Linked DNA regions of Pelodiscus sinensis. The protein of the gene in region 2 binds, or shares a complex with, the protein of the main gene of each other region. Links are inferred from orthologs where the notes say so. Each region holds a gene or a part of one and is shown on either strand. Other genes may lie near its edges.

Evidence for each region.
Region 1: GINS4 (region 2) and MCM5 share a complex: the UniProt entries of both Homo sapiens proteins name them as parts of the CMG helicase complex. The link is inferred for Pelodiscus sinensis from reciprocal best matches to the Homo sapiens genes GINS4 and MCM5.

The regions. Positions count from the first base shown.
Region 1 is NC_134711.1:94,040,484-94,056,593, reverse strand, and holds the start of MCM5 (DNA replication licensing factor MCM5), read left to right. Parts: upstream 1-9,638; 5' UTR 9,639-9,654; intron 9,655-10,105; 5' UTR 10,106-10,187; intron 10,188-10,232; exon of another isoform or gene 10,233-10,344; intron 10,345-10,593; 5' UTR 10,594-10,624; coding exon 10,625-10,791; intron 10,792-11,827; coding exon 11,828-11,954; intron 11,955-12,123; coding exon 12,124-12,252; intron 12,253-13,850; coding exon 13,851-14,023; intron 14,024-16,110. Other genes in the region: HMOX1 (heme oxygenase 1), read left to right, coding at 1,378-1,869, 2,530-2,641, 4,817-4,953. UniProt on the Homo sapiens protein: Acts as a component of the MCM2-7 complex (MCM complex) which is the replicative helicase essential for 'once per cell cycle' DNA replication initiation and elongation in eukaryotic cells.
Region 2 is NC_134738.1:16,499,518-16,515,691, reverse strand, and holds GINS4 (DNA replication complex GINS protein SLD5), read right to left. Parts: upstream 8,106-16,174; 5' UTR 8,069-8,105; coding exon 7,973-8,068; intron 7,064-7,972; coding exon 6,977-7,063; intron 6,305-6,976; coding exon 6,191-6,304; intron 5,772-6,190; coding exon 5,674-5,771; intron 4,729-5,673; coding exon 4,640-4,728; intron 4,167-4,639; coding exon 4,076-4,166; intron 3,782-4,075; coding exon 3,685-3,781; 3' UTR 2,991-3,684; downstream 1-2,990. UniProt on the Homo sapiens protein: Required for correct functioning of the GINS complex, a complex that plays an essential role in the initiation of DNA replication, and progression of DNA replication forks.

The DNA.
Region 1 (16,110 bases), on a different chromosome or scaffold from region 2:
AACATTTGACCAACAGAATCTTCTGGTGATGATGCACAAGAAGGAAAGACCCCATTTTAACAGCCAAACCCCAGTTTGAATGGTTGGAAGTTAGAAAAAGCATCTTGTAAGAGGAGAAAATGAGATATGGCAATAGAGACACAGCCAACACACAACCTCACAATGCTCTTTTCACCAAGTCCCTTTTCTGAGGTGAACTGTTCTTGCTGTCCCTCTCCTGTGACTGCAGTGTCCTTGGCTGCTAAAGTGGGTGTTTTTGGAGGAATACCAGCTAGGAATACTAGTCGTCCCCTGCTGGCCCCATGCTCCCTGCAGTGCTTTTGCCTTTGAAGTGTAGCAACAGCCCTACACTTCAAAGGCAGAGTCACCCTTCTGGACTAATGGAATAGTTAATGCAAATTGAATCGACTATTCGATAAGCCAATTAATCTAAATTTAACATCCCTAATACTAGCTGACTATCTCTGAAAAGACATTCCTGCCTAGACTCCTTGGCTGTGTCTAAACTACATGGCTCCATCGATGGAGCCATGTAGATTAGGCTGATCGGCAAAGGGAAATGAAGCCGCGATTTAAATAATCGCGGCTTCATTTAAATTTACATGGCTCCGTGCGCTAGTCTGGACGCTCCCGCGCCGACCTGAAAGCCCTTTATCGACCTCCCCGTTATGCCTCGTAGGATGAGGTTTACTGGGGAGGTCGATAAAGGGCTTTCATGTCGGCAGGGAAGCGTCCAGACTAGCGCACTGAGCCAACAAACAGCTGATCAGCGCGGCAGCCATGTAAATTTAAATGAAGCCGCAATTATTTAAATCGCGGCTTCATTTCCCTTTGCCAAACAAACAAATCTACATGGCTCTGTCGACGGAGCCATGTAGTTTAGACATATCCCTTGAGACAACGCACGTGAAAGTGGCCACCCTACTTATTGAATGAAGAGACAGGGGCTGCAATTCCAATATCCGTGGTGTCTGAGCAGAGGTCTGCCCATTGAGTGAATAGATCATAAAGTAAAAAGGTTGTCACAGTATGTCAAGGGATAGGACCTCCAGTTTCTGGAGACAATCAGAACTGAACAGTGCATTGGAGAATGTACCTTTGGGAATCATCCCTGCATGTGGGAAGAGAGGAAGAAGGGAAGGGGTCTGTGTGCTGAAGAATAGCTGAGAAGTGACCTAATATGTTTCTTCAGCCTCTAATTTCCATGATCCCAAGGACCCTGCCTTAGTAAAGAAGGGACTATGGGATGACATGGTACAATAACCAGTGACACATACACAGTGTTTATATGCAGATATGTTGTATTGACAAGAAGTGCACCTGAAGCTGGGGGGAGAGAGACCCTGTCGCTGATTTATTCCTTCCCTTTTACCACAGATGGTTATGGCTTCTCTCTACTACATCTATTCTGCTCTGGAGGAGGAGATTGAGCGTAACAAGGATCACCCAGCCTTTAGTGCCGTTTACTTCCCATCAGAACTGCACCGTAATGCTGCCCTGCAGCAAGACTTAGAGTATTTCTATGGCCCATCGTGGAGGGAAGACATCTCATGTCCTGAGGCCACTCAAAAATATGTGGATAGGCTCCACTACGTGGGCCAACATGAACCAGAACTCCTGGTGGCCCATGCCTATACTCGGTACCTGGGAGACCTGTCTGGTGGGCAGGTGTTAAAGAAGATTGCCCAGAAAGTTCTCCACCTGCCCAGTACTGGAGAAGGGCTGGAGTTCTTCACCTTTGAAGGGGTGTCCAGTGCCACAAAGTTCAAGCAACTGTACCGCTCCCGGATGAACTCCATCGAGATGGATCCAACCATGAAGAAGAGAGTCTTGGAGGAAGCCAAGCGGGCATTCTTGCTGAATATACAGGTACGTAGTCTGCATTTCCCCCCCTCCCCCCGGCCTCTCCCACTTAAGGTACAGCTGCTATCTGAGCATAGGCCAGGTAGCATTTGTACTGAATAGCTGAAGGGAAGCTGTGAGTTGAAAGGAGCCAGTATTGAACTTCTCTTATGTGACAGCTGCTTTTATGAGCCTCCCAAGAGACTCGATACTAGAATGCCCTTTTTTCCCCACAGGGCAACAGATCCTCTCCAGGATTTGATTGCAGGCTCTTTGTTGCTCTTGTTCGAACATGGGCATTTATTGGGGAGAGGGGAGGGGACAGGAATTAGAGCCCACCACTCCAACCCTAATATTTCCATGTATCTTCTCCCTCCCTTACCACTCTTTTCCATACTAATGCACACACCCAGATTTCCCTCTGATCTGAAGGCTGAACAATGGGGCTCAACTTCCTATGGAATTGCCCTGGGAAAGCATTTCACCCACTTTATACTATTAAACAAGCAAGGTGTTTACAAGATACCCTTAGGCAGTCTCCTTTCTGGAGAAGGAAAGACACAAAGGATCAGTGGTTGGATACGTCCTCTAGTTCCCAAAATGTTTTGTGCTGTAAGAAGGGGCTCATGGAGGAGAGAAGACCACATTTCCAAGTAATGAGGGAACTGTATGTTTTTTGCTGTCAAGGTGTTTGAGGAGCTGCAGAAACTGGTATCCCAGCCACATGAGAACGGTCACCCTGCTGCACAACAGAAGCCAGAGCTCCGCACAAGAGGCACCAGCAGAACACATGAGCATGGTAAGAACCTTCCTAAAGCCAGTTTTCAGAGTTTTGTCCTTCTCCCTCCCTGCCCTCTCCCTTGCTGAGTGGTGAGGAGGCTGCTCCGGCTCTCCTGGGGCTTCTCTATTTACACTCCCCTAGTGTTGGCTAGTGTGGCAGCTATGTGTGTGAGGAAACTACTACCGAGAGCCATAAAAGGAGGCCAAAACATGTCGGGGCTTGTGAGCTCTGCAGAAATAATAAAAATGTACCATTGTTATTCAGTGCTTTTCACCAGTAGATCTCAAGGTGCTTTACAAAGGAGGGCGGTATCAATATCTTCATTTTGCAGATGGGAAAATTGACAGTTAAGAAGGTTAACAATTAATGGGCCCGAGTCTCCTCTCCTCACTGGTTTTACAATGATATAACTCCATGGCTTCACTGGAGAGACACCTGTGTAAGCAACAGGAGAATTAGGCCCAACTGAGTGCATCCAGGACTAAAGGCTGATGGTTTGGCCCCAGTGCAGCACAGTAATGATCAGTGCCACAGTCCTGACTGAGGAAGCTCTTGCATTATAAGCCTGTTGACATGAAGACCTAGCCAAAGATCCGTCTTGTGGATTGAAACGTTTCGTGCTTGTGGTCAGTGAATATTTCTGGAAAGCAAGAGAAAATTCTTTCTTCTCCTGAGTGTTGGGCAAATGCTTTTATGTGGTGTCTGCTGCATTTCCTTGCTATGAAATATAGCACAGTCAGAACTACTCATTCCTGGGCTTGAGATCTTGTGGCTGCAGTATCCCGGGGCAGCTATTTTTCAAATGCTCAGCATTCTAGTCTAACTTTAGAACGACATGGCTCCATCTACTGACAAAATGCTGCCATTGTAGGAATGACACGGGAAGGTTCAAAGGTATTGCAAACCATGCCGTTATTGCAGGGTCAGAGTAATTATTCCATAGCAAAGGTTGCTTCCAGATTTCTACTGGAGAAAGTGACTTATCTGAGAATGTGTAGTTAAGATAAAGTTCTCCTTGGAACCTAAGATTTTGAAACAAGCAAGCAGCACTTTCATAGGTATTCAGTTGGGTTAGCTTCATTTCAGCATGAGAAATGTTATTCTCAACTTCACCCTTGTAGGTCTCTACACGTTCAAGCATGGGATAATTTTCACAGAAATGGCATGAGAAATTTTAATGCATCTTCCCACCCTAAAGTTTTTTTTTTAATGTTTCAAATGGTTACCTGCACTCTGCAACTGCTAGAAGTTGCTGAAGGAGCTTATTGGGGACTATTGAATGAGTGTGTGAGGTTCAGAGAGGCCAGGGATACAATGAGATATCCAGGAAGATACAATGAGATATCCAGGAAGAGAGGGAGACGCCCATTATTCTTGTGCACGCTCTTTTGGCAGCTGGCAGCGCTGCTAAGATCTGATAAAGGAGCCCTGCTTCAGCAGACTTTATATACTGCTCTCACACAGATCTAAGAAGGAATAGAGTGGACTGTGGCAAGGTATAGTGGGAGCGAGGACTGATTTCTGAGGCAGAACTCATATTGGGACATGAAGTAGGGCTGGAGCCAGGGAATGAAGGCTAGCTGGGGGAAACAAGGCTGGAGACTATCTAAAAGGTTTGGCTTTGTTCTGGAAGCAAGGCCAGGGAGGAGATGAAATAATATTTTAATGTTTCCCAGGAAAATCTTTTCACATCTCTTCAAGAAAGCTTTAACCAACCCTTAGGCTTTCTCCACACAGTGCATTAAGCTGTTCCTATGAAACAGCAGGAGCCTGGCGTTGTACCAAATTTGAGACTTTACAAAAAGCAAAAGGAACCAAAATGCATTAAGTTACAGCAATGGCAAGCTACCCTCCACATCTAGCATGGAGAAAAAAGATTATAAAGTACACCTGCAGGGCAGTGAGGGTTATTATACCACACACCTGGGAGGGACGTGAGATTTTAAACCACAAACCCAGCCTTCTGAACTAGCTGAAGGCCCTTGACCACTGACCTTGTGTCTCACTAGCCACCCACTTGGGGTGTACATTTGGTGTAACCATCCACCATTATCCTGTGCTATTGCTCACTTTGGCTTCAGTTCATGTGCCAGGGGCAGTGCACCTTTGGAAATGGATATAAAACTAACCTAGAAGCAAACCCTTCCTAGCCTGATTCCTGCTCTTACATATTTGATTTCTGTTGATTTTTAGGGCCAGTTCCTGTGAAAGAAGGTGAAAAAACATCACTGACGCACACTGGTATGCTGCCTAGCACTCCACTGGTACGGTGGATTCTTGCCTTCAGCTTCCTCGTGACAACGGTTGCTGTGGGCTTGTTTGCCATGTGAAGAGAAAGGACTTTAGGCTTTGCCCTCCTGCCTCTCCTCCTCAACCTAACACACCTTCCCCGTGTGATATGAGCAATACCACCCAACCAGCCCTCTTCCTGGACATTCTGATCTTGGCTGCGCCACTAACACTTTGCTAGTGGATTAAGAGGACTCCGAAGGCTCATGCAAATTCTCTCCAACCTGTGCTGAAAGCATTTCTGAACCCACAGACTGAACTTTGCCAAAAAGCTGAGGCAAAAAAAAAAAAAATCCTGAAAGGCAAGGCTGGCCCCTGGCCTTGCTTCAGACAGTTCCTGCAAAGAGCCCCAGATATAAAATATAGGTTTGGTAGCTTCCCTGCTGCCTGGGGGAAAAAGCCTTACTGGTGCTTTGTTCTGTCAGTGTTTTGTGCAGCTGCCTGGTACTGCAAAGATTTCTTCTGTGGAGTTCTCAGGCTCCCCTCGGATTACAGACTTTTTTATATGACACTATTAGCCCCTTATAGCCTATTTTTCCAATCATGACTCAGGTCAATTTTGTTTTTAGATAGCAGAATGCAGTTGTTGAACAGTGTTGTCCTTGTGTCCTGTCTGTACAATTTATACATTAACAATAAACTTCAATGTAAGGTGACTCTGCTGTGTTTCCTGGGATTAGTGCCTGTCTGATGTGGGGGAGGAAGCCTTTTGCTGATTCTCTTATGCTTTGGGAGGGGCTTGCTGCATGCTCATAAAATTGACATGAGGCACAGAATGGAGGGTAAGCAGATCTGGGCTCTGTTCCCAGCTCTGATGCCAATTCTTTGTGTGACTGCAGGTTAAGAGACTTTCTATGGTAACTACACTTCCCCATCTGCATAACACACTCTGAGATCTAAGGATGAAAAGCTCTAAGTAAGAGCAGGGTACTGGTAATTATAAAATGTCTCTGACATTAAAGGAAACAGCTGGTGAGTCAAAACCTCTCCACATTTCCTGGGCCTGAGCCTCAGCTGGTGTGAAATGATGCCACTTGGTTGACTTCAGTGTAGCTGTGCTGACCTACACCACTCATGAGGGCCTGGCCCATCACAAATCCATTCATACTACCTGGTTGAGAATTTCACTGTGGTTTCAGGAAAAAGAGGTATATTTAAAAACCAAGAAGTTAGTCCTGGTGATAACAACAGACTGACTTTTAATTATACAGAGTAGACCAAGCCTGGGCAAAATACAGCTCAGTCTGGATCTGGCCCACCAAGCCACCAGATCTGGCCCTCTGAGGCAGTGGGGAGCCCCAGGCAAGCTCCCCTGCTTTCCCTGCACTGCGCAGAAATGTGGCTGCCAGGCTTCCTTTCTGTTTCAAAACCTGAAGGGAAGGAGGAAGCTTCAGGAGCCACCCCACTCCCAGCACAATCCCAATAGCTAGTTTGGGCTAATAGCTGGTGAGAAACCGGCCAATGGCAGCTGCTTGTTTGAATAACAAGCAGCCAAGAACCATGCCCCCTCCACTCGTCTCAGTTATTCACTGAAGCACATGGCCAGGCAGGATGGCTGGCTGCGAAACGTTTTAGCTCTGTAAGCCTTAGCTAGGCAGGCTGGGTTGGCTGCTGGATGGTAAGTCTCCTGGCCACAGCCTGCCTCTGGCACTCCAGCACCTCCCTGCCCCCTCCCCCCCACATACCCAAACCCTCTGTCCTCCTCTTGCAGCCATACCCACTCCCAGATCTAGCACTCCAATCACCTGCTCTAGATCACAACCCCTTTTACCCATGTCATATCCCAAACTCCTGTATCTCAGTTCCCTACCCTAGATCACAACTGCCTCCTTCACCCAAACTCCTTCCTAGACTCCATTTTCCCTCCTGCACCCCAGTTCCTTACCCCAAGCTCCCCTCTGCACCCATCTTCCATCCCAGACCCCACATCTGCTCCACTAATATCATCAAAGAGTACGGCCCTCAACCGCTTTCCAAAATCTTGGAGTGGCCTCCTGTCAAAAATTATTGCCCAACCCTAGAGCAGACCAAAAAAAGAGTAACAATTATGCAAAGAGTTCTCTATCCACCTCCCCTTTCACTGGATGGAATTTGGATGCCTGGCTAGCAGCTATTGTAGTTGCAGGTTGTAGTTGTCTAATATAATCAAGTTGACTAAAGTTCTGAGAGATATTAGAGAAAATAAACTCTTTGGCTACGTCTAGACTGGCATGATTTTCCGGAAATGCTTTTAACGGAAAAGTTTTCCGTTAAAAGCATTTTCGGAAAAGAGCGTCTAGATTGGCGCGGAGTTCGCGTTATAACGATGCGCTTTAGCGGAAAAGCGTTCATGCCAATCTAGACGCGCTTTTCCGCAAAAAAGCCCCGATCGCCTTTTTCGCGATCGGGGCTTTTTTGCAGAAAACAAATCTCAGCTGTCTACATTGGTGCTTTTGTGCAAAAGTTTTGCGCAAAAGGACTTTTGCCAGAACGGGAGCAGCATAGTATTTCCGTAAGAACGCGGACAATCTTACATGAGATTGTCAGTACTTTTGCGGAAATTCAAGCGGCCAGTGTAGACAGCTGGCAAGTTTTTCCGGAAAAGTGGCTGATTTTCCGGAAAACTGGCCAGTCTAGACACAGCCTTTATGTACCTTGGATGTTGATCTTCAGGGCATATTATGAAGTCAATCTCTACAGCCTGAGTTCTGAGGGAAGAGAGTCACAATAATGAGGACTGATGTTTGGGTATTGGTTGGATTTGATTTATTGCAGCTGGTTATTTTTTTGTCTTGGTGGCATGGAGTGGAGGTGGTCTTTTTGTATGACTATTTCTGGGTTTTCTTATTTTATTTTTTGGCAAAGAGGTAGGGCTCTGGATGGGCACTTTTAAAATATGTTCTAATTTGAAATACATAGAAGTTCATAGAAATACTTAATTATTTATGCAGTGTGTATGTGTGGGAGGATATTATGAGAGCTCTTCTTTCTTTTAAAAAGTGAACTAAGTTCTGGTAAAAGGCCCTATTCCAATAGTTAGATCTGGTAAAAGCTACATTTGATAAAAGGCCTCGGTTTGACAGCCTCACTGTAAATCAACAGAAGAGATTACAGCAAAGACTGAGGATCTACCTTATATTTACCTTATAGTTACAAACAAAACCTACTGCACTGGAAAGAGTACTAGGACAGTCAATACAGACAATGACTAAATAGTACAGCAAGTGCCTAACAACAAAGCAAATACAATTCGGCTACGTCTACACTGGCATGATTTTCCAAAAATACTTTTAACGGAAAAGTTTGCCGTTAAAAGCATTTTCGGAAAAGCACGTCTAGATTGGCAGGATGCTTTTCCGCAAAAGCACTTTTTGCGGAAAAGCGTCCGTGACCAATCTAGACGCGGTTTTCTGCAAAAAAAGCCCCGATCACCATTTTCGCGATCGGGGCTTTTTTGCAGAAAACAGTACTGTGTTGTCTACACTGGCCCATTTGCACAAAAGTCTTTCGGAAAAAGACTTTTGCCCGAATGGGAGCAGCATAGTATTTCCGGAAAAGCACTGATGATCTTACATGAGATCGTCAGTGCTTTTCTGGAAATTCAAGCGGCCAGTGTAGACACCTGGCAAGTTTTTCCACAAAAGCAGATGATTTTGCAGAAAAACTTGCCAGTCTAGACACAGCCTTCATGTGTATTAAAAAAAATCCACAGGAAAGCTAACTGAAGCTGGTCTTCTCCCCTCAATCTATTATTCAAGTTAGAAGAATTCATGCACACTGTACTGTTTAGCAAATGGTCTGGTAGCACTTTATAGACTAACAAAACATGTAGATGGTATCATGAGCTTGCGTCATGTTTTCTTAGTGTATAAAGTGCTACCAGACCATTTGCTTGCTGGTTTTTTTTCCCCCGTAACAGACTAACTCAACAGACTAACTCAGACACCCCCTGAAGTTCCTGTACTATTTAGGGTTGCCAATTTTCCCTGAATGTATTCCTGGACGTTTCATCACATATGATCCTTAATTAAAGATTAATCTTTAATTCCTGGAGACTCCTTAGTCTGGCAATCCTAGTACTATTCTCTACACCAGAGGTGAAAGTAAGCTGGCGCACCCTGGTGTGCAGCTCTGGCAAGAGCTGGCAAAAGCCAGCAGGGAGCTATTTCAAGAGCAGGCAGGAACCCAGGTTGCAATAGGACAGTACCTGTAATACACTTTTAATTACTTTCACCGCTGCTTTACCTGAGTGTTTGTAAACTTGTAATATAACCACATGCTTTTCCACACCAGTCTTCCTGGAAGTACAGGTTGGACCTCCCTGGTCTGGCACCCTCGAGACCTCACCCATCTGGGACAAGGGAGTTTTGCTGGACACCAGGGAGGACGGTGCAAGGCTCCCTACTGGGCTTCTCTCCCCAGTCTCCCACCCTACAAGCTGCAGCAGCCTTACCACCCCGCGGAGCTCCCGGCAGCCCGGCTAGCTGCGGGCTCTGCCGCCCCATGAGCTCCAGCCCTCCCCCAACCTGCCCGCTGAGGACGCTGCTGCTCCATGCTCGGGATCCACTGCCCTGCGGGCCCTGCCACGCGGCTCCACGCCCAGCTGCTGGCAGCCTCTGCCGCCGGGGCGCGCTACTCGCTCCCGCAGCACGGCTGCTGCTGGAGCAGAGTCCCAGCCGCCCGGGTGCAAGCGGGACCTCCGCTCCCTGCAGCTCCGCAAGGGAGTCAGCTGCCCGGGGCCCAGCAGAGCGCGCCAGGGGGAGGTGACGCTGCTCCGGGGCCGGGACTCGCTTTTCCTTTTGGAACTGCCCGCAGGACAGAAGCACGTCGCGGGCCCGGGCCGGGCTACAGGCGCGCGGGGGGGGCCGGGATGCACCGGAGGAGGGTTCTCGAGGGGGCTGCTGCGGGGACCAGGCACGTGGGGCGGCTCGTTGGTGCGTCCAGCCAGGGGCGGCGGCAGCTCTAGACCCAGCAGCGCTGCCAGCCTGGGCCGCTCGGGCGCTGGCGGAGCCGCCCCAGAGCGCTGGGAACCGGGGTGGGGGGGCGCGGCCGCCATTTTATCCCCCTCCCATTTGTCACGTCCCTCGGGTCGGGTTTTCGCGCCAAACAGCGCTTGGCCACACTGGGAGGCGGGGAGCGGGGCGGGGCTTCGGCGCCTCCTCCAATCCTCTTCCGTCTCCATGGCGACTCGCCGCCCGCTTCCCGTTCCGACAGGCCAGGAGGGAAGGTCGCGGAGCCAATCCCCGGCGTCAGGTTTCAGGCTGGCCAATAGGGAGGCGCGCTTCCGATGACTTCAGTACGTTTGTAGTCTCTTTCTTCCCCCTCCCCCCCCCCCCCCCCCCCCCGCGGCCAAGTTTTGCCGCGAAAACCGGCTGGTCCGCGAGTGCCTGGCGCGGGGCCGATTCGAGGGGAGCGGGAGCGGCGGGTCGCCTCGGGGCTTGTGGCCAAGGCGGGTCGGATGGGGGGGTCGTAGCCAGGGGGTCGGGTCGGGGCTGGGGGGGCCGGATGGGGGGGTCGCCCCGCCCGGGCTGTTGGGTGGGACCCCCTGAGGGTCGGGGGGCTCGGTTGTCGGTTGCCGTTGGGGCTGAAGGGGGTCGGATGGGGGGTCCCCCCGGGCTGAGGAGCGGCTGGGGCTGTTGCAGGGCGCGTGGGAGGGGAGCGCTCTCTGGGGAGCTGGACTGATCGTTTCCCTCTTTCTGCAGGTTGCCCAGGGCGGCGGAGCCAATTTTCACCATGTCCGGCTTTGACGATCCCGGCATTTACTACAGCGACAGCTTTGGGGGTGACCCGGCGGCAGATGAGGGCCAGGTCCGGAAATCCCAGCTGCAGAGGCGGTTCAAGGAGTTCCTGAGGCAGTACCGGGTGGGCACAGACCGGTCTGGCTTCACCTTCAAATACAGGTGCTGCTGAGGCAGAGAAGGAGCCCTTCTCACCAACTCTGTGTTTAGCCATCTACTTTCTCCTTTCCTTTTGAAGGAACAGCTGTTTGCTTTCCTTGTAGCTGTGCACAGGCTCTCACAGAGCACTTTCAACTACGGATGCCAAACAACTTTTCACAGGATGGTCAGTGTCATCATCACTGTTTGGTCTGTTGGGGAAACTGAGTCCTTGAGTGGCGCAGTGATTTCCCCAGGATCACAGATCAGGGAATGAAAACTGGTTGTCTGACTCCCTGTCCTGTGCCCCATTCACAGTACTAAGCTGTCTTCCATGGGCCCACACTGCAAAGTGTGGCTCTAGCCCTGAATTTCAAGTTCCGAGTTTGATGTTTCAGAATGTTTAGATCCAGGGTTTGGTTTGAGTTTCTCTTTAAGGTAAGGATGTAACAGTTTTTCATCCAATGTCTTCTGAAATCTGTGAAGATCCTTCTGTGGACTAAATATTTTTCTACTTCCTGTGTATATTTTTGAACTGTAAGGTTTGTGATTCTTTTCTTTTATAAAACATTGAATAAGTACTTAATTATCTGCAGAATGCATGGAAATAAAAATGAGTGCAGATCACCCAGAGACTGAGAAATAGCCAACCTTTCATCTTTTATTTCCCTGAATTCTGATTTTTAAAGTGAATGTTAATAACTGCTATTATATCATGCATTTTTAAAATTCAAACTTTGGGTGTGATAGACCTGATTACTTATGCTTAGAAGTATGTAAACTGTCTTTGTAACTCTGATAGCACAATGACACTAAGCATATTCGGACTAGAACTGGGCAGTTTTAGAAAGCGGATTTGGATGCCCTGTGAAAAATCTGTCCAGCAGCCTCCTTACAAAACTTATCTACTCTGCTTCCAACTTAATCAAGTCACTTCAAACAATTTATAGGATCCCCTTTATGCTGATTCACTGCCCTGGTCCTGCTGATTTACTTGCATTTGTTAAGAATTGCACTGTGCTTTCTGCTCTTCAAGTCTGAACTCCTTGTTGCCTCACAGGGATGAGCTCAAACGGCATTACAACCTTGGCCAGTACTGGCTTGAGGTGGAGATGGAGGACCTGGCCAGCTTTGATGAGGACCTGGCAGATTACCTGTATAAGCAGCCTGCAGAGCACCTGCAGTTGGTAAGAATGGGGAATACCATGGGAAGAAGGACATGGAGAACTACTGTAAGAGTAGCCTTAGAACTGGCAAGTTGCCAGCTAATCATGGGCAGTCAGCTGACACCAGTAGCCCCGATAATTCTTTGTGAGAGTGATAACCTGAGCTGTGATGTTCCCTCTCTCTCCCCAGCTAGAGGAAGCGGCAAAGGAAGTGGCAGATGAGGTCACCCGTCCTCGCCCAGCAGGAGAGGAGACACTTCAAGATGTCCAAGTCATGTTGAGATCAGATGCCAATCCGGCCAATATCCGTAGTCTGAAGGTGAGCTGAATCCACCCATGCTATGGAGCAGTGGGGGCAGTAGTTGTCCTCTGGTGAATTTGATTGTGGTGAGAGCTGTTAGAACAGTGGCGGCCAACTGCAGCCTGAGGGCCACACACGGTCCATCAGGGTTCTTTGTGTGGCCCACAAAACATTTTTACTGTTGCCTACAGTTTTGCTGGTTTCTCTTTGCTTAGGGTTTTTTTCCTACCAGAATTACTGAAATGACATGCATTTAAAGCAAGGGCATGTGAAGTGAGGTGAGTGCTGATATCACACAACATTGACTGTGAGAGTTGTGTGCTCTCTCTGCATCCATTCAAAGCATTGCTGTGGTTCAGTTGGCACATTCTGCAAATTCTAGGTACGCAAGCACCTTAGCAAAACTACCCTATCCTAGAAGACCATCTTGGTAACAAAAATCTTGCAGTCTACTGATATGAAGAGTCTCTCATTCAGCCCATGTACTAGCCTAGGTTGCCCGATGACTTACTCAAGGCTCAGATCAAGGAGTGAGTTGGATAAATGGTTTGGGGGTTGATCCATCTCTGCTCTGCTTACTGTGATGAAACTGCACCAGACAGCACGTATTCAACTCACTACATTTGATGGGATTTGCTAACTTTAGGGCTGTGCTACACACTTGAACATTGTGCCATTTGAACATTGGTTTGAGTCACATAGCTAAAGCCTCCTAGTGTAGCTACGTTAATAAAGGTGCTTGGACTGCTATAGCTTAGAATCATAGAACCTTAGAGCTGGAAGAGACCTCAGAAGGTCATCAAGTCCAGCCCCCTGCTCTAGGCATGACAATGTTTATTCCCATAAGTTTAGCACCTTTGTGCAGGTATATTCATATCTCTGTAATGACTTCAGTAAAATATTCTGCCTATCTGAAATAGCTAAATTGATTCCAGAACTGTGTACATCAGATCTTAATGGCTCTGTTGACAATTTTGGGGATGTCAGTGGATGGGTATTCTCATCTGTCCATTAGATGGTGAGAATTATTTTTGTGTCTCTGAGGGTTTTACTGAGGAACACTGTATTCTTCATCACAAACTTCTCTGATCAGTGCAAAATGCATCAAGAGACGTATCTATAGAATAATGAAGCATCTTGTTTAAAAAAAAAGCCACAGTCCCTTCCCTTTGGTGTGAGGCTATTCAGTGCCTTGTCTGCATGAGTCTGCTTCCCTGAGATGCACGCCATGGCTTGGAGCCTTAATGTGTTTCGGCAGAAGGGCTTGGAGAGGTAACAGACCTTTGAGCCAAGATACAGCAGAGCACCATTATTAAGGTGACACTCATAGCACGTTCTAAACTCAGCTGGCAGGCTATTGTATGGATCCAAACTACTGAGCAAAAATATGCTGCAGGAAGGTGTGTTTAGAGGGATGTACATGTTAATTCCAAACACTTCTTCTTGGTTCCCTCTGTGGGCAACACAGGGAAAGCTGCCCACAAAGCATCATAACCATGATCCTGGCAACTCTGTGCATAAAGGCTGCTGTGCTTTCCTTTCCCGCTGCCATGATGAGGTTTCCCTTCTCCATGTGTAAGATGTTTCCTTACCTTTCCCAACCTCTTCTCTCTCAGTCTGAACAGATGTCCCATCTGGTGAAGATCCCCGGGATCGTAATTGCTGCAACTGCTGTGAGAGCCAAAGCCACCAAGATTGCCATCCAGTGCCGCAGCTGCCGTAACACCATCAACAACATCGCCGTGCGCCCCGGCCTGGAGGGTTATGCACTGCCCAGGAAGTGTAATACGTAAGCAATGAGAATCCTTTCAGGAGTCGTGGCTAGGGTGGGGAGACTAAGTTAGGTCTCACTGGGTGTCCTGTGCCGGGATCTAGAGGACAGTCATCCAGCCCTCTGCAGGATGGAGAGTCCTCTGTGCTCATGAATTAGTCTGTGATGACTTTTAATTTATCTGTGAATTGAAGGCCTTGCCCAGGTCCACATTGGTGGTGGGCAAGGGTGGTTAAGGCCAAATGTTAATGACCAGAATAGTGTAACTGAAGCACAGTCTCCTCCCTGCACCCTGGAACTTAAAGGGCACAGTCACACTCATGCATCTCAAAATGCCCTCCCTACCATCACAGAAATCCTTAAGCACTGCTGAGTCACTGAGTGCCACTGGGGTGCTCTGCGTGGCCCGAGCCTTAAAAATAGATGATCCTTCCTTCTGGGAGCATCCAGTTGAAGAAGACTGCTTTTTACTAATACTTTCAATTGTTCAGTCCCCAGACAACACTTACTCTCTGTGCGTGTAAAAATCAAATACATTCCTGGTCATCTGATCCATTTAATTTATTACCCTTCTCTGTCCCCCAATGAGTGCATTGCTCCTCCCAGTGAGCCATGTCACGATACACTTTCTCACACTGAGGCTGTGTCTTCGCTGCTGTTTGTTTGACAGAAGTTCTGTCAGTCCAGAGGGTGAATAAACCACCCCACTGAGTGAAACAAGTTACACTGATATAAATGCGAGTGTGGCGAGTGTTATGTCACAGGAGAGCTGCTCCTGCCATCATGGCTTCTGCCGCTCGCAGAGGTGGTTTTACTTTGCCTATGGGAGAGCTCTCTCCTGTCAGGCATAGAGCGTCTTTATCAGATGCAATGCAGCACTATACATGTAGGCAGGCTCTGAGTAATACCTTCCTCCACAGTCGCCCCAGTAAAGTCAGTAGGGCTAGTGTATTGGTGCATTCAGCATAAATAAGGGGGTCGTGAAAATGGCTCTAAGCACATAGGGTGGGCTCCCTAAAGCTGCCATTCCGAGGGATTTGGATGCCCAGTTTCCATTAGAAATGCACAGGAGCAGAAATGTGCCAGTCTCTTACGTGTCTTTGGAAATCTGAGCTTTGGTTGAAAATGACTTCCGGTCTGTAGTCTCCCAAGGGACACTGGCTAATAAATCTGCATCAGGATGCTTTCCCTGCTATTCAGCCTACACTTTTCCTTTTTTAGTTTTCCACTAACCCTAACTAAACCTCTGTATTCATATGTAAATAGGTTTTCTCTTCCTTTGTATTATAGCCTCTTAGACTTTTGTCCCCACTTAGGCTTAGTTTGGTACATAACTATTTAAATGTCTAAAATCTTTCCCCATCGGTCAATCCCTTTTCCCTTAACCTATTTTATTTCTTTACTCTGAGCTTTCCAGTTTGTGTCCCTTTGTCTAACTCTTTGGAATGGGGAATGACTCTTAATGTGCATCTAAACAGCACCCAGCTGCTTTAATTTCCATTGGGCCCTGTAGCATTACTCTTCTACAAATAGCCTCCTCCAGTTTCTCACAGTCTAGGACAGGGGTTGGCAACCTGTGGCTCACTTAAGAGCCAAATATGGCTCGCAGCTTGAGCTCAGCCCCCGTCCTCCTCTCACAACAGAGAGTCCACAATGACGATCGAGCATTGCGCCCCCCACGCAAGATCGGAGCCAGTGCCAGCTTCTTGCATGCCAGATCCAGCTTGCAGGGAAGCATGTGCACGCTTCCTTATACACCCTACCTTCCCCTGTGCTCTGGGGAGGCAGGACACAGGAGCTGTGTGGCCTTCCCTGCCTGATGAGCACCAGAGAGTGCACCCAGCTGTGCCGATATGGGGGTGATGCACATTGAGCTTGCAGGTGCTGGGAGTGGGGGGAGGTTAAAATGGCAGCAGAGGTTCTAGATATTGGAGATGAGGAGTGGCTGGATTTCTTGAAGGAGTGGCACGTACGCTTCTTCCAGCACTGCCTGCAGACCCTGCCCAAGAGATACTCGTCCCTGAAGACCAGCAGGTACCAGCCAAGCTGCTCCTGCCTCCTCCGTGGCTAGACACCCACCCACACCCTGCTCCTGCCTCCCCTCC
Region 2 (16,174 bases):
AGGCCACACGCACAACCTCAGTGGACCACAGGCAACCCACCGCTGTGCTCAAGAGAAACTCCAGCACGTCTCTTCCCCCACCTTCTGATTGTCCAGTGGAAACTCAACAGCTATTTGTCTGGGAGCTGCAGAGCCTGTGGGAGGGTTGTCAGAGGGCTGTTCGTGGGGACAGACCCCCACCGGGGGAGCGGCAGAGCCTGTGGGAGGGTTGTCAGAGGGCTGTTCCTGGGGACAGACCCCCAGTGGGGGAGCTGCAGCAATCTGCCTTTGGGGCCATTTGTTTGGGATTAATCCCAGATTCTTCTTCACCTTTGTGCCTAATGAATCCATTTATGTAACGGAGATTCATTAGGGATGCACATGCAGAGCCGCTACCCTGTGCTGTCCTGCACATGTTGCCCTCATGCCTCCTGCTACCGGGGGGAGCTGAGCTGCTCCCGCCCACCCCCAGAGAGCACATGCAGGGGAGGGCATGGCCTAGAGCAGTGGCCACCCACCAGACGACGGGCTCTAGGGGTAGATCCTGGTGCCTCAGGTGATCCTGATGGGAGGAAATAAGGTTGATTTGACCCAATTTGCTCTTGGCAAATCCACACTGGCGGTTCGTTATTGCCCCACACCGCTCAGGTCCTTAACTCAGTGGAGTTTTGGAAAATAAAATTCAAGTGTCCCTGCTCCATGTCAAGCACTGGTCTGCGTGTGTCGGACGAGGGGCTCAGTTGCAGGCTGGCTGAGGGAGAAAGGACAGCCCCAGCAGCTGGGGGCCAGGCGAGAAGTGGGCAGCCAGGGGACAGAACGCTTGTTTCCCGGCTAGGGTAGGTTCAGGTTTGTCTGCCCCTGCACTCCCCAGCCAGAGTGAGGAATGCAGCACCTGTGCACTTTCCCCACTCCCTGATGAAGGGAGCAGCCAGCAATGTTCCTGTACAAATCGGGGGGAGGGAGCTTCAGCCCCCCCACTCCCTACAGGCCACCTAGCGGGTGGGAGGTGTTCCCCTGAAAGCCCCTTGCACCTGCCTGCTGATTCCGTCTGCTTCTCAAAAACCAATCCTATTCCAGGCACAGCCCGTTTTCCTGGCACAGCCAAACCCTTGCTTTTTAAATAAGAGGAAGCTGCATCCCAATGTGGTGGTCCTGGCTCTTAGCGCTCAGTTCTTGGACAGACCCCCTCAGACATACAGATTGTTCTCCAGGCGCTGTGTGAGCTCCTGGTGGAGACAGGAAGCAGCAGGAAAAGCGGAGGGCTGGAGAAAGAATCAGGGAAGGGAATTTCGGTCTCATTCTCTGGTAGGAAACTATTGACAAGTTACTTTGGGAAAACCACTCCCTGCAGCCAGAGCACCAGCCACTGCAGGCAGAAAAAGCCCCGTTAAGAGGAGGCCACAGGGACTCCCTCAAGCTACTTAGAAAGTGTCCCCAAAGCCCTCCTGACCAGAGCCCACCAGCCAATCACCCAGGCCTTCTCTGTGCACACAATGGGTGGCAGGGAGATCATCTGCTTGCACGGGAACTCCCTTATGAACCCGCGGGAGTGGCTGGGCACCTCCCTCTCCTCTCCGCTCCGCTCCCTGAAACAAGTCAGTACAGACAGAAGCTAAGAGAAGGTTCCGGACCCTGCCCCTATTGGACACTACCAGCTGCAAGTGGCCCCAAAGCAAAGTCATTCAGGATGCCAAGAGGCAAAACTCCAGCCACTAAGTCCTCTGTTAATGGTATTTCTTCGAACACTGGTGCAGCACATGGTCTCTCCATGGAGGGAGATGGCTCGGGGAGCTGGGCCATAAATCTCACCTAGACCAGGCTCTTAGAGACCCTGAAACCTGCAGAAGTGATGGAGGTTCTGGCCCAAACCCCACTGCTCAGCTACTACCACAGGGCCATGCTTCGTCTGTCACAGCACGTGAAATGTAGACAAGCCTGTAGCCACAGGCATCACTACAGTATAGGGGTGTAACTGTGGCCACTTCCCAGGCTGCTGTCTGCCTTGCAGGGAGCAATCTCCAGTACAGCACCCCATTCACCGAACGAGGTGCTAAGTCAGTTTCCTTTCATCCTCAGCAGCCCTTCCCCATTTGTGCAGAGGTAACCTGGCACTTTGCATGTTTGGAACATTCAGCGATTGCTCCCCACCCCAACAGGGCCTCTCCCACCTCTCCACTACCTGCAGTGGGAATGAATACACAGTGGGTGCACCTAGACTGGCAAGATTTTGCACAAAAGCATTTGCTTTTGCACAAAAACTTGCCAGCTGTCTACACTGGCCACTCGAATTTGTGCAAGAACACTGACTTTGTAATGTACAAAAATCAGTGCTACTTCCACAAATACTTACACGCTCCTGCTCGGGAAAAAGCTCTCTTGCGCAAGAATACTCACGCAAGAGGGCCAGTGTAGACAGGGAAGAACTGTTTTGCGCAAAAAAGCCCCGATGGCTAAAATGGCGATCGGGGCTTTCTTGCACAAAATCGCGTCTAGACTGGCCGCAGATGCTTTTGCACAAAAGCGAATCTTTTGCGCAAAGGCACTTGCCAATCTAGACACGCTTTTGCGGAAATACTTTTAACAGAAAAACTTTTCCGTTAAAAGTATTTCTGCAAAATCATGCCAGTCTAGACGCAGCCAGTGCTTTTTGGGTGAATGGATCACTCCAATATGGGAGGGGGCTGAGAAGTGCTTAAAGTGGAGGTCAGCAGGTCACAAGGGGTCTCACACCTGGCCCAAAAACCTTTAGTCAAGCCAGGATGCATTTTAAACACCACCTTAGCAGAGCTGCTGCTCCCACAGCACGACAGGCACCCCGCTTCCATCAGAACATGGTAAGCACTGGTGCCCCGGGCTGTGCGCTATACGCAAGAGGTACCAGAGCGCTCCCCGGGGAAAGGCTGAGTGTCTCATGCACAGACCTCGCTGCCAGCTCTCAGGAAGAGCGGGGATTGTTTGACGGGCCCCAGGAATACAGCTTTGCTGTCAGGGATGCAGACACCACCTCCTCATCGAGCTAGAGCCAGAGATACGTGGCTGGTTTATTTGAGCCCGGTCGGGCGGATTCTTCTACTTGCCAGTAAGAGCTCCTCCAGGTTCCAAACACGCTCAGCCCCACCCAGGTCCTTTGGAGCTGGCACCTGCTGCAAACCCACACAAGCCCCCATCCCTTGTCTAATCCCCTCCCCACACAACATGAAAGGGTCTCTCCTAACTGAGCTGCACAGGAGGCCTGGTCAGGGTCGTGGGCGGCGGCAGTGGCCCTAGAAAGCAGACTTGGAGAGTTTGGCAGCTGTCTTTGTAAGGCAACTGCTCACACTAGCCCTCGCGCCAACTCATCTCGCCTGACTGTGTGTGGGCTGCCACCTGGCCGCAATATCCAGAGTGTATGCATGGGGGCGGCGCCACCTGCTGGTTCCACACCAGAGCAGCAGCTTTGTAGAGGCGGAAGAGCGGCCTTTCCTCCAGCAGCAGCATCCGCATGCCCCAGACAGGGGCCCTCGCTGATGGCACCTCTCTCTGGCTCTGTGCCTTTCTATCCCCAGGCTACATGCACACAGGAACATGGAGCTGCTGGGCCCAGGCGGGGGGGCAGGATGGGCATTCGTAACTGTCCACAGCCGTTGTGCGTCCACACGCCGACCGGCAGGGCAGTGCTCTCAGGTGGCCCTGGCCTTCCCTGCCCCCTTTAAGTCTTGTGACGTTTTAAATGAGCTGAACTGCTCCAGAGGCCACCAGCGGGGCGATGGTTTTGTATCGGATCAGATGCTGCGAGCCCTCCTCCAGGTCGATCACATATTCCCTGAAGGGGGGGGGGGGGGAGAGAGAGAGAGAGAGAGAGACAGACAGGGTGAGGGGGAAGGGCAGCAGCAAGCCAAGCACAGCACTGAATGGAAACACACCAGGGAGGAGAGAGGTGGTGCAGTCTCCTGCAATGGCCACATGACTGGATCTGGCCAGTCGGAGGGGTGCTGCTCTCCCCACAGCTGACGACGCCCCTTCGCTCTTCCCAGCAGGAAGCTGCGCGGTGTACAGGGAGGGTGGCATTTCTAAGGCATGTGCATCTCAGGGCACAGCAAAGCAACAGGCCACCTACCTCTGCTCATCTGTCTCTGGCTCCACCAAGATGTTTTCTTGCCTCTCCTGCACCCTCAGGAATACGAAGGCATCCAGGTTGGGTTTGGGAACTGCAAGGAAAGTGACGCACTCAGAGCCCTGACAGCTGGAACAAAAGACTGAGCACCATGCACCACAAGCCACTCCTGTGAACAGTCTGCTCCTCTTCGAGCCCTTCATACTTGGGGACACAGAGCAATGTGGGTCAGCAGCACCAGCAGCGTGGACATCACAGGCAACCAGCTGACCCCCAACACACCAGCCAACACGCACTTGAGACGGAAGGAGAGCCAGAACACAGACCAGTGAGAGCAGCCTCGGGAGCCCCCTTGTCACCCATAGGGCATTCTAGGAAAGAACCATGCGAACATAAGCCCACCACCTTCTAAAGGACCAGCAGCATGGAGAGGGCTAAGCTCAGACACCAGCGTCTTTCAAGCACTCGCTGCAAGCTGTCGAGGACTTCAAGGCTCATGCAGGGTGAGCCCCCAGGGAGCTGGTGCTAGAATCCTCATGCCTGGTGCTGCAGCCAGGTTTCTCTTACCCAGTCTCAGGAGATCAACCTTCTGCAGGTTGGGAGGCATGTGTTTCAGGGCCATGTTTTTCAGGTAGGTTTCTGTGTTCGCCATGTACCTGAAACAGACCTTACTGTCAGTGAGATCTTGGCAAAACCTGCTGGGTCACAGCTGACTCCAGCTGCCGTCATAAGACCAAAAGGAAGTCTTTCTTCACATAATGCAGAGACAGCCTGTGGAACTCCTTGCCAGAGGATGCTGTCAAGACCAAGACTGTAACAGGGTTCAAAAAAGAATTAGATACAATCATGGAGGATAGGTCCATCAATGGCTATTAGCCAGGATGGGCAGAGATGGTGTCCCTGGCATGTTTGTCAGGGTTGGGAATGGGCGACAGGAGGGATCACTGAATGATTCCCTGCTTGGTTCACTCCCTCTGGGGCACCTGGCATTGGCCACTGGCAGAAGACAGGACACTTTGGTCTGACCCAGCAGTTCTTAGCCTGCTGCTCCAGGGCAAATCCTTCGGTGCCCCAGGGTACAGCCTATCTCCAGGTGAAGATGACAAAAGGCAGTGAGGTCTCTTCCAACCGGCAGGAGCTCAGGCAGCAGAGGGAGCTTTTCTAGCACAGCTTAGCAGGTGGCTGAAGCGAGACTGCCCGGGCCAATGGCTTGGCCACAAACTGCCAACAGAGGGTGGCCCGGAGCCAGGAGAGGAAGCTCTGCAGCAGGAAGTGGCTCCTTTCACCACTCTGCCTTGCACAGGGAAAGAGGCAGCTGGTTAGACACCAAGATTGATGGAGGCTGAGTGGGGCTCTTTTTTCAACTCCTTCCCAGGGTGTCAGGAACACTCAGGGCCAAACTGCCAGCTTCACTGCAGGCCCAACAGAGAACAAGGAAGGTGTTAGCTGGTCAGTAGAGGACAGGGAGGATCTACATGCAGCCTGTGCAGCAGAAAGGAAGATCCAGAATGTATACAATCCCAGGTCTCCAGGCCTAGCCTGCAAAGTAGACCAAGACTTTGCTCACCCCACTGTCCAGCCCTCCTTCCACATCCACTCACTCTTTAGCAAAGGCAAACTCCTCTGGAGAGAGAATGGAAGGCTCTCCTTCTGCTCGGGACTTCTCCTTCTCCAGGATATGGGGAAAAAACTTCTCGATCTGCCAGGAGAAGAAAATCCCCAAAGAAGCGTCAGCTGGGATTGAAACAGAGTCCTGTTATAGGCAGCTCCTGACCTGTACAGGGCTGTCTGTGCTGGAGAGGCAGGATAACTATGGCATTTCCAGGACCCTGTCCTGACCTTACCTAGGTCGAGGAACATGCTCACCGCATGTGCACTGTGACACTCCCCCCCCCCCCCCCCCCGTCTCTGAGATACCCTCTCCCCAGAACAAGGTGCTGTGCTTGGCACCAATGAGGAATGAATTCCTCAGGTGAACCTTATGGTCACTCTAGTCTAACCAAACATGTCAAGGGTCTGTGACTCAGAGTCCTGCGCCAAAGCAATCTGCTTTCAGAATACGATGCCTTCAGCCACTCCCGGGAGTCATGTCCCACACATAGCACAGCAAGGTGTTACCTTTGCAAGCCTGCAGCGCAAGTAACTGCTGAGGACATAGCGGATTCTCTCAATCTCCATGCGGTGGATGCTGACCTTCAGATCTCCGTGCTTGGCTCGTTTCAGATTTGACTCCTGCCAAAGGGGCACATTGGGGGAAGTCAGACTGTACACACGCTCAACAGTTAATGGCAGAGAGGCCAATGTCTGCAGAGCTGTGGGGGAAGAGCCAGATTGCAGCTGCCTCTTGCAGATAGAGCCCGGGCACCATGCACGCAGGTTACCATCTCTCTCTGCCACCTGGGGAAGGGAATCCAAAAACCTGACGCCAGATTTTGCAGCATATGTGGGTTTTGGAAAGTAATGGCCAATTTTGTCATCCAGGCACCTGCAAGTCTGTCTGAAGCAGGAGGTTTACGCCCCTCTGGAGCGCACAGTTGAACAAAGAGCCAGGAGATGGTAAGCGGTGCAGCCCCCGCTGGCTGGCATCATGCTACAGGGCTTACAGAATGGCAGATGAGCGGACAGCTACTAGCCTCTGTGACTGACAGCAAAGTGCCAGGAGCATGGGGAGCTCGCAACACATCCACGCCAAACCAACAGCACTTGGGCAGAGCGCAGGGATGCTCGCAACTACCCCCGTCGTGTGGGGGTACTGGGGAGAGGGATGGCTGGAGGAGCACGGGCGGGTGCTTCGGCACAGAGCCCCACATGCTGCCATGCCCGCAGTGGGGAGTTCGGTAAAGCCGGCCCGACTCCGCCCAGCCATTCCCAACCACGGCCCCCTCTGTGCCCCTGGACACGCACCATGTGGTCCAGCTGCTCCATGACACATTCCACGATTTCAGACTTGCTCTCCAGTAGCTCCGGGGCAAACTTCTCATTCAGCCAGGCCTGAGAGCACAGCAGGGCGGTGAGCCACAAGCCGACCTGACAGCCAGCCCCCTGCCCTGACCCACCACCCGCCTGCCCCCCCGTCACCCCCCAGCCGGGAGAGGACCCGGGAATCTGCCCCCCCCTCCCCCCAGCCGGGAGAGAACCCGGGAATCTGCCCCCCCTCCCCCCAGCCGGGGGAGGAGCCGGGAATCTGCCCCCCCCTCCCCCCAGCCGGGGGAGGAGCTGGGAATCTGCCCCCCCAGCTGGGAGAGGAGCCGGGAATCTGCCCCCCCTCCCCCCAGCCGGGAGAGAACCCGGGAATCTGCCCCCCCAGCTGGGAGAGGAGCTGGGAATCTGCCCCCCCAGCTGGGAGAGGAGCCGGGAATCTGCCCCCCCTCCCCCCAGCCGGGAGAGAACCCGGGAATCTGCCCCCCCAGCCGGGAGAGAACCCGGGAATCTGCCCCCCCAGCCGGGAGAGAACCCGGGAATCTGCCCCCCCAGCCGGGAGAGAACCCGGGAATCTGCCCCCCCAGCCGGGAGAGAACCCGGGAATCTGTCCCCCCAGCCGGGAGAGAACCCGGGAATCTGCCCCCCCAGCCGGGAGAGAACCCGGGAATCTGCCCCCCCAGCCGGGAGAGAACCCGGGAATCTGCCCCCCCAGCCGGGAGAGAACCCGGGAATCTGCCCCCCCAGCCGGGAGAGAACCCGGGAATCTGTCCCCCCAGCCGGGAGAGAACCCGGGAATCTGCCCCCCCAGCCGGGAGAGGAGCCGGGAATCTGCCCCCCCCTCCTCCCCCCAGCCGGGAGAGAACCCGGGAATCTGCCCCCCCAGCCGGGAGAAGAGCCGGGAATCTGCCCCCCCCCTCCCCCCAGCCGGGAGAGGACCCAGCCGGCTGGCCCCGCCCCCAGCCGGCTGGCCCCGCCCACCTGCTCGAGGCCGCCGAGGAGCTGCGCGGGGGTCAGCACCAGCTCCTCGCTGCTCCCGTCCGAGTCCAGCTCGCGCAGCGCCGGCCCCGCCGCCATCCCGCCCGCGCGCCGCTCCCGCCGAGGCGCTGACGTCAGCACGCTCCGCGTGGCGGCCGGGCGCCTCCTCATGCATATTCATGACCCCACCTCCTGCAGCGGCTCAAAGGGGTGGAGTCGCCCGGCCAGACTCCTCCCCTCCCCCGCCACGCCCCGCCCCCCCGCGGCCCCCGGGGACCCGCAAGGCCGGGCAAGAGCGCCCGGGGCCGGCCGGAGGGATGGAGGCGCGTGTGGACGGACAGACGGACACGGACAGACACGGGCGGGCGGGCGGGCGGGCGGACAGACGGACACAGGGGCGGGCGGACAGATGGATGGACGGGCGGACAGACGGACACAGACAGACACGTGCGGGCGGGCGGACAGGCGGACACAGGGGCGGGCGGACAGACGGACACAGGGGTGGGCGGACAGATGGATGGACGGGCGGACAGACGGACACAGACAGACACGTGCGGGCGGGCGGACAGACGGACACAGACAGACACGTGCGGGCGGGCGGACAGACGGACACAGACAGACACGTGCGGGCGGGCGGACAGGCGGACACAGACAGACACGTGCGGGCGGGCGGACAGACGGACACAGACAGACACGGGCGGGCGGGCGGACAGACGGACACAGACAGACACGGGCGGACAGGCGGACACAGACAGACACGGGCGGGCGGGCGGAGAGCCAGATCCCGGCACACACGGACAGCGCGGCACGGCAGGACAGAGGGGCGGGCGGCTGCAGGCTTGGGTGGACAGACACACGGCCAGCGGGGCCAAGGACAGACAGCGGCTCTAGCGATCACACGGGGTAAGTTTTCTGACTCCTCTGTACAGATGCCCCAACACTCCACTTTGATCCCGCCAGCTGCAGGTTTGTTGGCTACAAGCTCCGGGTTCTCCGCAGGGGCCCCAGGAGCAGCCCGAGGACACCCAAGTTGAACGCTCAGACATGCTGCATTCACGCTCAAGCCTCTCCAGGGTGGTTCTGGGCAGGCAGGTGCTCTCAGAGAATAAGAGGCCTGGGCCACTTTGAGTTTAGAGGCCCCAGCCCCTCCCCTGTGTCTAACCTCTCATTCACAGGGTCATCATAAAACCAAAAGAATGTATGAAAATAAACAACTGAAACGTTAATTTATTAACAATTCAATCCTTATACCAGTAGCATGTATATTAAAAATGGCGAGCAGTCCTGTGGCACCTTAGAGACTAACTGAAGTGTTGGAGCATAAGCATTCGTGAGCAAAGACCCACTTCGTCAGATGCATGTAGTGGAAATTTCCAGAGGCAGGTATAAATATGCAGGCCAGAATCAGGCTGGAGATGAGGAGGTGGATCCAATCAGGGAGGATGAGGCCCACTTCTAGCAGCTGATCTGAAGGTGTGAATTCCAAGAGAGGAGAAGCTGCTTTTGTAGTTAGCAAGCCATTAACAGTCTTTGTTTAATCCAGAGCTGATTGTGTCAAACTTGAAGATGAACTGTAGCTCAGCAGTTTCTCTTTGAAGTCTGGTCCTGAAGTTTTTTTGCTGCAGGATGGCTACCTTTAGATCTGCAATTGTGTGTCCAGGAAGATTGAAGTGATCCCCTACAGGTTTTTGTATGTTGCCATTCCTAATATCTGATTTGTGTCCATTGATTCTTTTACGTAGGGACTGTCCAGTCTGGCCGATGTATATAGCAGTGGGGCATTGTTGGCACATGATGGCATATATTACGTTGGTAGATGTGCAGGAGAACGTACCAGTGACAGTATGGCTGATCTGGTTAGGTCCTGTGATGGTGTTGCTGGTGTATATATGTGGGCAGAGTTCGCACCGAGGTTTGTTGCAAGGATTGGTTCCTGAGTTCGAGTTATTATGGTGCGGTGTGTAGTTGCTGGTGAGAATATGCTTCAGGTTGGCGGCTTGTCTGTGGGCAAGGACCGGCCTACCCCCCAAGGCCTGTGAAAGCGAGGGATCATTGTCCAGGATGGGTTGTAGATCACTAAGGATGCGTTGGAGAGGTTTTAGCTGGGGACTGTAGGTGATGGCCAGTGGTGTTCTGTTGGTTTCTTTCTTGGGCTTGTCCCGTAGCAGGAGGCTTCTGGGTACACTTCTGGCTCTGTCAATCTGTCTCCTCACTTCCTCGTGTGGGTATCGCAGTTTACAGAATGCTTGTTGAAGATCTTGTAGGTGTAGGTCACTGTCTGAGGGTTTGGAGCATATGCGGTTGTACCTCAGTGCTTGGCTGTAAACAATGGATCGTGTGGTGTGTCCAGGATGGAAGTTGGAGGCATGCAGGTAAGTGTAGCGGTCGGTAGGTTTTCGGTATAGGGTGGTATTGATGTGACCGTCACTTATTTGTACCGTGGTGTCCAGGAAATGGACCTCCCGTGTAGATTGATCCATGCTGAGATTGATGGTGGGGTGGAAGCTGTTGACATCATGGTGAAATTCTTCCAGAGTCTCCTTCCCCTGGGTCCAGATGATGAAGATGTCATCGATGTAGCATAGGTAGAGAAGGGGTGTAAGTGGACGGGAGCTGAGGAAGCGTTGTTCCAGGTCAGCCATAAAAATGTTGGCATATTGTGGGGCCATGCGGGTGCCCATAGCAGTGCCACTGGTCTGGAGGTATATGTTGTCACCAAATCTGAAATAGTTGTGTGTCAGGATAAATTCACAGAGTTCAGCCACCAGTTGTGCTGTGGCATCATCAGGGATACTGTTCCTGACAGCTTGTACTCCATCTGCATGTGGGATGTTTGTGTAGAGAGCCGCTACATCCATGGTGGCTAGGATGGTGTTTTCTGGAAGATCACCAATGCATTGTAGTTTCCTCAGGAAATCAGTAGTGTCACAGAGGTAACTGGGAGTGCTGGTGGCGTAGGGTCTGAGCAGAGAGTCCACATAGCCAGACAGTCCTTCAGTGACAGTGCCAATGCCCGAGATGATGGGGCGTCTGGGATTTCCAGGTTTGTGGATCTTGGGTAATAGATACAACAACCCTGGTTGGGGCTCTAAGGGTGTGTCGATTTGTTCCTGTGTTTGTGTAGGGAGGGTCCTGAGCAGATGGTGCAGTTTCTTAGTGTATTCCTTAGTGGGATCTGAGGAAAGAGGCCTGTAGAATTTGGTATTGGAGAGTTGTCTGACAGCCTCCTTTAGGTAGTCAGACCTGTTCATGATGACAACAGCACCTCCTTTGTCAGCCTCTTTGATTCTAATGTCAGAGTTGTTCCGGAGGCTGTGGATGGCATTGCGTTCTGCACGACTGAGGTTACCAGACAAGCGATGCTGTTTTTCCACAATTTCTGTCTGTGCACGTCGGTGGAAGCATTTTATGTAGAGGTCCAGACTGTCATTTCGGCCCTCAGGAGTCCATGTGGAGTTCTTCTTCTTGTGCTGTTGGTGGGAAGGTATCTGTGTGTCAGTGCACTGTTCAGTGTTGTGTTGGAAGTATTCCTTGAGACGGAGACGGTGAAAGTAGGCTTCCAGATCACCGCCTGGTATATTAAAAATGGCTACCCCTCTGGTATATTAAAAATGTAACTAATTGTGAGTTTCCACTGCAAACAAAACTCTTCATTTTAGGAATGTTTTTTTGGTTTTATTGTGAGCAAACTTGTTTATAATTGAAGAAAAATCTAATGTATGTGCAACATCACTATTAATGTTAAGCACTGCGAGCCCAATTCAAATGCTCATCTCATTGTAGAATGATGGTAGTTCTTTACTTGGTGTAACATGTTGAATGTGCATTCACCTGAAGCCACTGATGCAGGGAGACTGATAAAAATATGTAATGCAATTGTGATATTAGGCTGAGATTGAACATTTCTTGAAGCATCTATTTTGGCTTGCAGTTGGTGGAATGCATATGATTTAAAGTTAGTGGAATGTATGTTTCAGGAAGACTCTGTCATCACAGAGATCTCTTGAAATTCCATTGTTGTACCTTCGTTGAAACTGTTCAACTGCTGAATATAGATCTTCATCACTTCATTCTTGGAACTACCAAAGGAATCCCAAAAGGGTACAAATTTGTTGCAGTGACTCAAATCGACATGTAAGACCAGATTTGATGGGACTCAATAACAAAAAAAATTTGGCTTAATAGTGCCTTTCTGCATCAGACTGAGATGTTAGACTGCAATTCGTGGAAAACTCAGATGAAAAGTTAATAGCCTGTGCTACTGATTTGGACTCAGAAAGGATTGCATCACTTTGATCATGAATCTTTTGAGTATCTTTAAGAAATCATTCAGTGTTATCCCTCTCAACATCTAATGTAGCATTGTGTGCTTCAATTTCAAGATTAGTTTCATGGATCATTTTTAGCAGCTTCATCCACATGGACAACATTAAAATGCATTCAGATTTGGATGTATACTTCTGAATTGACTTACAGCACAGACTTGCCCTGAGTTTAAGAGATTCAAGCTCACTTAAAGCTTCTCAGAGTCCAAATGCTGTGCAACTGACTTAATGCCATCAATTCGTGTTAATCATCTCGTTGTCAAAATGACGTGAAGCAAAACAGGCAGATGCTGCTTCAGAATTTCCCACTTTCAAGGACTGCTACTAAAGAAGTTGTACAATTGCTGGATTGTTCCAAAATATGTGATTGCTTCCTTGCATGATTCAGTGCAATCAGTGCTGACAAGATTTAGGGTATGTCTTCCCCAAGATGCTGCTCTGTCCTGCTCTTTCTCTCTGGGCTTTGAGGCCAGGCTCTCCACACAGCCTGTGCCTGGTTCTTCAAAGTTTGGTAGCCATTTGTGGCTAGTCTTGTCTCTGGGCCTGAGCCAGGTTTAAAGTTCAGCTTGCACTTGGAGCTGTCCGAGGTGCTGTTGTCCTCCCAACCTAAGCCTGGCTAGGTCAAGCTCCAGTGAGGAACTGCCAGGCCCTGGCCCAGCAGCTTCTTTATATCAGCCTGCTGGGCCCTGATTGGCTGCAGCAGAAACAGCTAGTCTATCCTGCTTGGAGGACCTCTCTTATGCTCTTCTCCATGGGGCAAGGTGGGGCAAGGCCTCCAGCAGAGAGCATCAGGCCCAGTGCACCCCGTCACAAGTCCCTATAGCCTTATTTCAAAGTCTTGAAATTTTAACATGTTCCCACTATTAAATTCCTCTAATAACTGGTGCATTATGAATATGAACATGGGGCAATTGCCAGACTAAGTATAAAGTTTATTAAACAACTAGAATTAAAAGTTTATTATACCAAAAAAAGCCTTTAAAGATTAATCTAAAACTGGACAAAGAGGTAGCTTACAGCTGACCTGATGTGGTTATTGTATACAAAGACACACAAGAAAAAACAGGAATACAAAAAAAATCTCCTACAGAGATAAACATCTAATTTAAAGGTTAAACTCACTCTCAGACCAAGTAAAAATCACTTCATAGGAACAATTAATTACAACTTTCAAAACCTCTAAACTATGTAAAGCCTATTAACAGCATTTCATAATGTAGACCCACTAATCTCAGAGGCTACTCCCATCTCCAGTCATGCAGATGAAAACTCAGATGTGACTGAAAAATTGGTGAAGACCCAAGATCCCACAATGATTTAAATAATTTTTTGCAGTTTATTTTTATATATATAGCGCTTCTTTTGTTGTCTGTTATAACTTCAAGGTGTATAATAAATGGAAATAACTTGATAAAAAATGTCAACATTTCAGTTGTCTCCTGAGGCCCAGGCCAAATGGCTCTCTTGCCGCCACTCCCCCCCCCCCGCCCCCGCCCCCGCCCCATAGGGCCTGTGGGTAGGTCATCATAGCAAACATTCTGTTTTTTGACCTTACTGTCTTCCATACAGGGAGGGGCTTTGCTATCTTCTAGAAACCTTCACACAAAACCAAGAAATGGTCATGCAGCACCTGAGAGAGTAACAAAAATGTTGATGGTATCATGAGCTTTCATGGTCACACCCCACTTCTTCAGATTCAGACTTTTAAGTTACATACTAACATGGCTAAACGCTATTCAGAGAGAAACCTATTTATGATTTCTGGATTGTAAAATATCCAACCTATCATTTATTCAGACATACAGAACAATTTTTACATTTGCTGAACTCCCTTGCTGTTCCTACTTTTAGGGAACAAACGTCACAAACTCTTGGAACTGCATCCAAAATTTGTAAATATCATCCAGTTGTAAGCAGTCTTATATAAAATACATTGATGTGCCCAGCCTGAGCTACAGTCAGCTCAGACATAGAAACATGTTGATTGAAACCTACATGGGCTCAACATGAGGTCATAAGAATGGCCATACTGGGTCAGACCAAAGGGCCAACTAGCCCAGTGTCTGGTCTTCTGATAGTGGCCAATGCCAGTTGTCCCAGAGGCAATGAACAGAACAGGAAATTATCAAGTGATTCCTTCCTTGTTACCCATTCCCAGCTTCTAACAGTCTAAGGACACTCTCTCTGCATCCTGGCTAATAGCCATTAACGGACCTATCCTCCACAGCATTATCTAGTTTTTTTGAACCCCATTAAAGTCCTGATCTTCACAACATCCCCGGCAAGGAATTTCACAGGTTGACTCTGCATTTCATGAAGAAATACTTTGTTTTAAACCTGATACCTATGAATTTCATCTGATGACCCCTAGTTCTTATGGGAACAAGTAAATAACTTTTCCTTATTTACTCTCTCAACATCAGTCATGATTTTATAGACCTCTATCAACTCCCCCCAGTATCTTTTCTAAGCTGAAAAGTCCCAGGCTTTTTAATCTCCCCTCATGTGGCAGCTGTTTTAAACCCCTAATAGTATGTGCTGCCCTTTTCTGAACTTTTTCCAATGCCAAGATATCTTTGAGATGAGGCGACCACATCTGTAAAGGTCTGATCACTAGTATTGCTGATAACATTTTATTTGTACAGAAACAAAAATCTGATGCTTTAACAGAAAGTAGCAAGTCCACCCTCATAATGCATAACATTCATTAGATTAATAAGGTAGCTGTGTAAGGGTATGCATCTTTTAGAATCTTGATGAGCAGCCACCTGTTTTACTGAGGGAGTTATTACTTGATTCATGTCAGTACAACAAAGTACAACGCAGACACAGTTTATTTAAGAAAAATTTACTAATCCATTAATATTTCTTCAAAATTATTGCAACAGGTCTGAAAAAGCAAACACACTGTTACAGCTTAGAAAAACAAGTATTTGTACAGTTAAAATATTAAACAAGACTCCAGGAAAAATAATCAGTGTATGAGGAAATTAGATCTGGAAGCTTTGACCCAGTATTAGCACCTACAGTACCACTGAAAGCAGAATACTCTGTTCTGGACAGTTGTCTTGTTTTGTAAATCCCTTAATTCCTTCCACAGGAAAGGATGATAGCTCTTAAAACAGAAGGACTCTGCTAATTTATGGCAAGGCTAGATAGAGAGTTCCCTCTAATAAGGGAGAAGGAAACAACAGAAAATTACACCAACTTGATTTGTAGGAAGTTTTACTCAGAAGATGCCCAAGTTATTTTAGCAGATGTTGCCAAGGAATGTTAATGCACAGGAAATACGACATACTGCAAAGGTTTACTCTTCAGCAGTTTGCCAGTGACTATCTTATATACTGCCTAGTACTTTGTCAAATCAAGTGTTCCTATAAATTATTTTAATAAAACAAGAAAGTTTATTACACTTCACATATTAAACATTAAGGGATAGTCGGGATGGTTACACGTATTGGTTCAGCATTCATTTTATTGTGCTTACACAGCTTAATGAAACAAGCGATAGAGCATTTCCTCTTAGGAATTTAGGACAATGCAATAACAATAGATTCTCACAGCAGCAGCAAAGCACCCAGCACTAATGTTAGCTTAGGAATAACCAGAATATGAAAACAGAAAGCATTTGCATAATTCCCAGAGCATCACCTCTGAAAACTTAAAATGCGCTATGCCTCAAGTCACTTCCTGCCAGGCAGAGGCACTCTGTACAACGGACATATCTACCCGCTTCCCTCCCCAAAAGGCTTTATGTGGAGTGAAGAATTTGTTTTTGAAAATGCCTGTGCCCCTAAAGTCAGACTTGTTGCTTTCTAAAGTGTCTGATGTGCATGAAAGCCCAAGAGGCTGGGGAGGAACAGTACTGCTCTCACATTGC